Mus musculus: one gene and its partner. The protein of the gene in region 1 binds, or shares a complex with, the protein of each later gene. Links are inferred from orthologs where the notes say so. Each region holds a gene or a part of one and is shown in the gene's direction. Other genes may lie near its edges. The genes, in order: Sirt5 and Prdx1.

Region 1 (3,817 bases):
TAATTGCTCATTTTCTGAGTTTCGGTGCTAGAGGAGATTCAAGTTCTATTAAATCATAGGTAAGATTCTGTGACCTTTTAGGTGTGAATCTAAACCCTGAACAGCTGCCTCGTCTTCCCCAGCCCACTGGCCTTTTATAATTAAGCATCTAGTTAGTAACTCAGACCCTTAGCTTCAGGCAGAGCAGTTGCTTCTCTCTGGACCACTCCAGCTACGCCTGGACATCATTCCAGAGTCAGCTGCATGAGGTTAGCCATGCATGCAGTCATAGCCATATCTTCTCTAAGTCGTGATGACCTTGAAAGCATCTGGTTTTGGTTGGTTAAACGGTTGTACATGTGCGGTGGTCTGAATAAAAATGGCCCCCAGAGGCCCATATATTTGAACTCTTAGTCATCAAGGATTGGCAGTATTTGAGGAGAATTAGGAGGTGTGTCCTTGTCGGAGGAAGTGTATTACTAGGGGTGGGTTTTGAGATTAGGCCAGTGTTGCTCTCTCTTCCTGCGGAGCTGTTACAGTTCCAATGTCATGAGTGCTTCCATGTTCCCGCTATGCCCCCACCGTGTTCCCACCATGCCCCCACCATGCTCCCACTGTGCCCCCACCATGCCCCCATCATGTCCCCACCATGTTCCCATTGTGCCCCACTTTGCCGCCACCGTGACGATAATAGAATAGCCCTCTGAAACTATAAATAAGCCCACAATTAAATTCTTTCTATTCTGGGGGTTGCCTTGGTCTCTTGACAGCCATAGGACAGTGACTAAGACAGTGTGTTTTTATATTTCCCATGATTCCTAGGGTGGACCTAACCATAAAAATGCACGTAGGATGACTAAGTATTGTCTGGCCTCTCAGACAGGGAGACTTTAATACTGAGTGCTGAACTTGCTTGTCACTTATCTTTTTTTTCAGGAACCTTATTTAAAACTCGGTGTACCTCGTGTGGCACTGTTGCCGAGAACTATAGGAGTCCGATCTGCCCAGCTTTAGCAGGAAAAGGGTAAGTATAGCATACTGCAGAATAAACGCTATCTCTCCTCTAACTGAACATAACTATAAGGACATTGAAAGTTCACTGAAGATTCCAGTGGATATTTTTCTTCCTTTTTTTTGTTTTTTTTCCAGTGGCTATATCTAAAGTGCAAGACTAGATGCGGTACAGATATTTGATGAAAGGAAAACTTGACTCATAACTGTAAGGTGCCAGAGTTCTTTGCTGTGGTGTGATTCCAAAGTTTTATTTACACAAGTTCACATCCTGTCTCCACATATCTGTATATTAGTGAAAAGACCACAAGAAACACACAGCAAAGGGTTAACTGTGACCTTCAGGAACGGGGACATTATGAGTCATTTTTATTTCTCCTTCAGATCATAGGGATTTCCCTAACATTTTCATGATGGATGTGTATTATTGTTTACAATTAGGAAAATTTGGAGCCAACATAAACTACTGGAAAAAAAAATATCTTCTGGACCGTTTCAGAGCAGTATAAATGTATAGAAGCAAAATCCTAACATGGTGTCATTGGAGAAGTATCAGAATTATCCCACTCAGACTCCCTGACACAGCTTCCTGTTGAAGTCAGTATTGCGGGTTAACCCTACTAAGTTAGCACACATGAGCAAGCTTTGTACCATGCGCCACCAGGCAAATGCACAAAGGGCCACGTCACCTTCTTCCTCTGTTTCTTGACTTTACCATCAGTATTCATTCTCTTTAATGCTATTTGCTCCAGGGCCCCAGAGCCAGAGACTCAAGACGCCAGAATCCCAGTCGACAAACTTCCCCGGTAGGTAAAACAAAACAAAACAAAACAAAACAAAACAAAACAAAACAAAACAAAACAAACGTGGGATATGAGTCGTCCCCAGAGCTCTGGCTTTCCCGAATAAAGCCTCATGTGGTTTGCAACAAAAAAAAACAAAACAAAACAAAAAAACAAAACAAAACTGATGTCTATCTGGTGTTCAAGATTGGAGGGCAGGAGAGATGGCTCAGTGGTTAGGAACATTAGCTGCTCTTCCAAATGTTCAATTCCCAGCACTCCCAGGGCAGTTTACAACTGCCCACAATTCCAGTTTGGAGGGATCTGACACCCTCATACAGACATACGTGCAGGCAGAGTACCATTGTATATAAAGTAAAAAAAAAAAAAAAAGTATAAAAATCAAAATCTTAACTTTTTTTTTCCGGTTTAGGGAGATGCCTTTTAAGTGCACCGATGTAGCAATGGTCCCTGACCTCGCAGTCTAGGGTTGAAAGGACAAAAGATGAAGCATCTTCCAGTCCTTTTTAGAGAGCCAGGTTTACTATGTTGCCCAAGCTAGCCTCAAGCTCCTAGGCTCAAGTGATCTTTCTGCCCCCGGTGTTCAAGCAGCTACACAGAAACTGCCTGACTTTGATCTCTCTGTGTCTTGACAGATCCCTTGGGGTCTGGGAAGTTTCTGAAGCAGGGACGTGACAGAAGGTGATCTGTGCACCGGAATCACATTCTAATTACCATTAGAGAGCATTTATAGTATAATTAGTAAGTAGCCCTCGTCCTCTTCCTCTGCGTGTCTCCCAGGCCAAGACTGAGGAGGTGGCAAAGGTCTTGCAAAGGTGAAATGACAGAACTAAAAAAAATTGGGGCTGGAGAGATGGGTCAGTGGTTAAGAGCACTGGCTGCCGATCCAGAGGACCTGGGTTCAATTCCTAGCACCCACCTGATCATTCCCAACTGCCTGTAACTCCATTTCCAGGGGATCTGAGGCTCTCTCCTGGCCTTGAGGGCACTGCATCTTCTTGGTGCACATACTTAAATGCATTCAGAATATTCATACACATAAAGTAAATAAATCTAAAAATAATTGAAATATACTTTCGTATTGTTATAAAGTACATTTGATTTTTAAAATGTCGGTTTTTTTAAAACCAGGCACTGAAACAGTGCTTCCAAAGGGAGTTAGTTCCTCGGGGCCTGGAAGAAGATCAGTGCTAAAGGGCTCACTAGGCAAACAAGAGAACCCCAGTGTGGCTTCTCAAGACTCCCAGAAGAGCTAGGCCTTGCCACTGTACCTAAAACCCCAGGGCTGACAGACATCCTTGGGGCTTGCTAGACAGCCAGTCTAGCCAAAACAGCAACCTCCATGTTCAATGAGAGACTCTACCTCAGCAGATAATACGGAGGGCAATAGGGGCAGATGCCCTAGTTCATCTCTGACCTCTACCTACTCATACACACACACACACACACACACACACACACACACACACACACACGCAGGCCAGAGCATGTGCGCATAACAAAACAAGGCAAACCAGACCTCTGTGAGTTCCAGGACACCCAGACCCTGTATCTCTCCCTCCCTCCCTCCCTCCCTTCCTTCCTTCCTTCCTTCCTTCCTTCCTTCCTTCCTTCCTTTTCTTTCTTTCTTCTTCCTTTCCTTTCCTTTCCTTTCCTTTCCTTTCCTTTCCTTTCCTTTCCTTTCCTCTTTCTCTCTCTCTTTCTTTCTTTCTTTCTTTCTTTCTTTCTTTCTTTCTTTCTTTCTTTCTTTCTTTCTTTCTTGGGGAGCAGGTTCAAGACAGGGTTTCCCTTTGTATCCCTGGCTGTTCTGAAACTCACTCTGTAGACCATGCTGGTCTCAGTCTTGAACTCAGAGATCTACCTGCCTCTGCCTCCTGAGGGCTGGGGTTAAAGATGTGCGCCACTACCACATCTGGCCAAGAAGTCAGATTTTTTTTTTAAAGCTAGCCTTTTGGCCCAGGCTTGTAATCCCTGCTATTTCAAAGGTTGAGGCAGGAGGATCACAAGTTCATGCGTGACCTGGC
Region 2 (3,817 bases), on another chromosome or scaffold:
GAGCCTCCATATTTCTACTGGGTCCTCTAAAAGAGCAGCCATTATGATTAATTGCCAAGCCAACTTTTCAGTCACCTTCAGCTCATTTTTTTTAAAAAAACTACATTTGGTCTTACAAATCAAGTCTTTGGAGCTGTGGCTTTGCTTTTGCTCAAAGGGAAGACTTGACACTCCAATTACCTTTTGTTTTTACCATAGTTTCATGCAGATACTTGGTAGGTTCTGTTGATGGTTTACCTTCTCTCCTTTTAAAAAATTTAGCTCCTAGCTAGGTGTAGTGAATGGAGTGGTGTAGCAGGTGGATTTCGGGTCAGCTAAAGCTGCATGGTGGGACCCTGTCTGGAAAAAAGAAAAAGAAAAAAGCAAAACAATTCGAGGCCAGCCTGGTCTACAGAGTGAGTTCCAGGGCTATACAGAGGAACCCTGTCTCAGGAAACCGGAAAAAAAAAAAAAAAGGCAAAACAAATCTATCAATTATATCTGATCATTTCTGTTTTTGTTTTGTTTTTTGAGGCAAGGTTTCTTTCTCTATGTAATCTTGACTGTCCTGGAACTTGGTCTGCTTGTGTGCATAGGTGTTGGAACTCCTGAGACTGTACTTACAGATGGTTGTAGATGTTTAGATTTTAACCAGAGTTCTTGGCAAGAGCAGCAATATACCTGTAAATGCTGAGGTATCTCTCTAGTCTGCATTCTTTCTCCCTTGCCTTGCCATCTCAGGGTAATTAGGTCTTTTGAGACCATTGCGACTATAGATTTCTTAGGTACAAGCTGCAAACTCTGGTTTTAAATGTACCTTCTTTAGTGGTATATGAGTTTCTGGAGATAGCTTTTGAGTAAAATATTCAGTTAGATTTCCTGACATCACACTTTGTAGTTGGGATGAGAACAGATGCTGTGGGTTGTATGGAGAAGATCTCACTGGCAAACAGTTTAAATAGTACCTACCTCTTGGGAGGTAGAGGTGACCCTGGCACATGGTCTTGGGAGGAGTGCTTGCTCTCTGCCCTGTAGGGCTTGGTCTGCTGAGGCTTCAAAGTGCTTATTAAGCAAAGCCACAGAGAGATTGCTTAGATGAGTCAAAGACTGCTTGTTTTGACTTTCAGTCATAGTTACCACCTGAAAATAAGTAGGTATTTGAAAACGTTCCAGTAAGTAGTTTAGCCGTTAGGCATGGTGAGAGGCTTCATAGCCTTGAAGATTTGCTTTGGTAATCTCAGTTACTAAAGTAAAATTGGAGCTAGAGGTCCTGTTACCTACCGGTACTTAGCGTTCTTTTGGTTGCAACATTTTTCTTGTCATGTCCTGTTGGACTTGTTAGGAACACAATTGTGATTTATGACATTAAACATAACCCATGAAGCCTGGAAACATTGTTCATTAGGTGAAAGTTTGCTGCACAAGCTTGAGGGGCTTCAAGTTATCTAATCCATGGGACCTACATAAAAAATAGGGTTAATTAGTTGAATTCTATAATATCACTAGTCCTATTCAAGATAGATTCAGACAACTAGTCTGTTAATAACACATCTTAACAGCAGAATCAAGAAACCCTGAATATAACAAGATGGAAGGGGAGAAAATTACTCAGGAGATCACTTAATTATTTCTTGCATCATTGTATAAAGGGTCTGACTTGACTCTTTGTCTTTGTTGTTGGTTTTTGTTTTTGTTTTTGTTTTTTTTTTAGACAGGATTTCTCTGTGTAGCCCTGGCTGTCCTGGAACTCACTCTGTAGACCAGGCTGGCTTTGAACTTAGAAATCCGCCTGCCTCTGCCTCCCAAGTGCTGGGATTAAAAATGTGTGCCAGTACTGCCCGGCTACTTTTTTTTCCCTAAGAGAGAGAGAGTGTGTGTGAGTGTGTGTGAGTGTGTGTGTGTGTGTGTGTGTGTGTGTGTAAATAATGTGTGGGTGTTTTGTCTGCATTACCCATGCATGTCTGTCTGGTGCTGGAAGAAGCCAGAAAAGTGTGTTGGACACTCTGGGTTGAAATTATAGGCAATTGTGAACCATCATGTGGATGCTGGAAATGAAATTTGGGGGTTCTAGAAGAGTAGCCAGATCTTAAAACTGCTGGATGGGGATGGTGAGATGGCTCAACGGGTAAAAGCACCGACTGCTCTTCTGAAGGTCATGATTCAAATCCCAGCAACCATATGGTGGTTCACAACCACCCGTAACAAGATCTGACGCCCTCTTCTGGTGTGTCGGAAGACAGCCACTGTGTATTTACATATAATAAATAAATAAATAAATAAATCTTAAAAAAAAACAAACTGCTGGATGACCTAAGTCTTGATTCTCCTGTTCCCTACCTCCCAAGTCATGGGATTATGATGTTGAGTTTCTATCCCCAACTTTTTTGTTTTATTCGGTTTTTTGAGACAGGGTTTCTCTGTGGCTTTGATTGTTCTGGAACTTGCTCTATAGACCAGGATGACCTTGTACTCAGAGGTTCATCTGCTAGGCATATGTTGCTACCATTCAGAAGTTTTGTTTTTGAGATGGGGTCTCCTTGGAATTTATTAAATAGCCTAGGCTGGTCTTGAACTTGTGATTTTCCTGCTTCTGCCTCCTGAATGCTGGATTTTGGAATGCTGAATTACAGGCAGTGTTTGCTACCCACATCCAGGCTTTTTGCGTGGGTGTGGGTGTGTTTTTGAGGTGGGGGCATTGTTAGAGACTTTCACTATGCATCCTGAAGCTGGCTTGGAGCTCAGTCTTCCTGCTACTGGATCTCACCCTGACTTACCTTTACTTTCTGAGTGTACCAGCACACTTGATGTTCTTTGATGTTCTGGGTTCAGTTTGTAGATCATTTACTAGATGAATTGCATTCTTGCCCCCCTTTTTTTTCAGTGTGAAAAGAACTTGGTGTGTATGCTAATATTAACCTCTCAGAAGATCAAAATTGACTGAATAGTGTTTATTCTATAGTTAGCAAACCAAAGAAGAAACAGTCATTTTAATTTAGGCTTTCTTGGTACAAAGGTTATAAAAGTAGCTGCTAAGAGCTGTCTTTATTAACTATGCTAACATTGATTACCGTGTTGGTGATTAAAATCTTCTACAGGAAAATGTCTGCAAAAGAATCTTTTGGAAATTTCTTGTTTTCATTCAGACAGGGTTTCTAAACCTGGCTGGCCTGGTTCTTACTCTGCGTGGTTCAGGTTGACCTCAACTTACAGCAACTGTCCTGAATGCTGGGACTTTAGGCATGTTATCAGTGCCCCTAGATCAGAAACTCAGCTTCAAAGCTAACTTCTTGATTGCTTTTTCCCCCCACAGGAAAATATGTTGTGTTCTTCTTTTACCCTCTTGACTTTACTTTTGTGTGTCCCACGGAGATCATTGCTTTCAGTGATAGAGCCGATGAATTTAAGAAACTCAACTGCCAAGTGATTGGCGCTTCTGTGGATTCTCACTTCTGTCATCTGGCATGGTAAGTTTTTGGTCTATGTGGTACGTGAAATTTTTTGTTATTTATTTAAGTATATGAGTACTATAGCTGTACAGATGGTTGTGAGTCTTCATGTGGTTGTTGGGAATTGAATTTTAAGACCTCTGCTTGCTCTGGTCAACCCAGCTTGCTCCAGTCAGCCCCGCTCACATCAGCCAGCCCCACTCTCAGTCCATCCAGCCCAAAGACTTATTATACATTAAGTACACAGTAGCTGTCTTCAGATGTGCCAGAAGAGGGCTTCAGATCTCATTATGGGTGGTTGTGAGCCATGTGGTTGCTGGGATTTGAACTCAGAACCTTTGGAAGAGAAGTCAATGCTCTTAACCACTGAGCTATCTCACCCGCCCATTTTT

The links.
Region 2: the proteins of Sirt5 (region 1) and Prdx1 are in contact, whole or in part, in a crystal structure (PDB 8Z54), measured with the Homo sapiens proteins. The link is inferred for Mus musculus from reciprocal best matches to the Homo sapiens genes SIRT5 and PRDX1. Residues at the interface, in NP_001363727.1 of Homo sapiens: Ala86, Tyr102, Arg105, Gln140, Ile142, His158, Val220, Val221, Trp222, Phe223, Gly224, Glu225, Asn226, Leu227, Leu232, Val253, Val254, Tyr255, Pro256; in NP_001189360.1 of Homo sapiens: Phe195, Ser196, Lys197, Gln198.

The regions. Positions count from the first base shown.
Region 1 is NC_000079.6:43,378,758-43,382,574, forward strand, and holds part of Sirt5 (NAD-dependent protein deacylase sirtuin-5, mitochondrial), read left to right. Parts: intron 1-915; coding exon 916-1,003; intron 1,004-1,742; coding exon 1,743-1,796; intron 1,797-3,817. UniProt on the Homo sapiens protein: NAD-dependent lysine demalonylase, desuccinylase and deglutarylase that specifically removes malonyl, succinyl and glutaryl groups on target proteins.
Region 2 is NC_000070.6:116,688,487-116,692,303, forward strand, and holds part of Prdx1 (peroxiredoxin-1), read left to right. Parts: intron 1-3,289; coding exon 3,290-3,443; intron 3,444-3,817. UniProt on the Homo sapiens protein: Thiol-specific peroxidase that catalyzes the reduction of hydrogen peroxide and organic hydroperoxides to water and alcohols, respectively.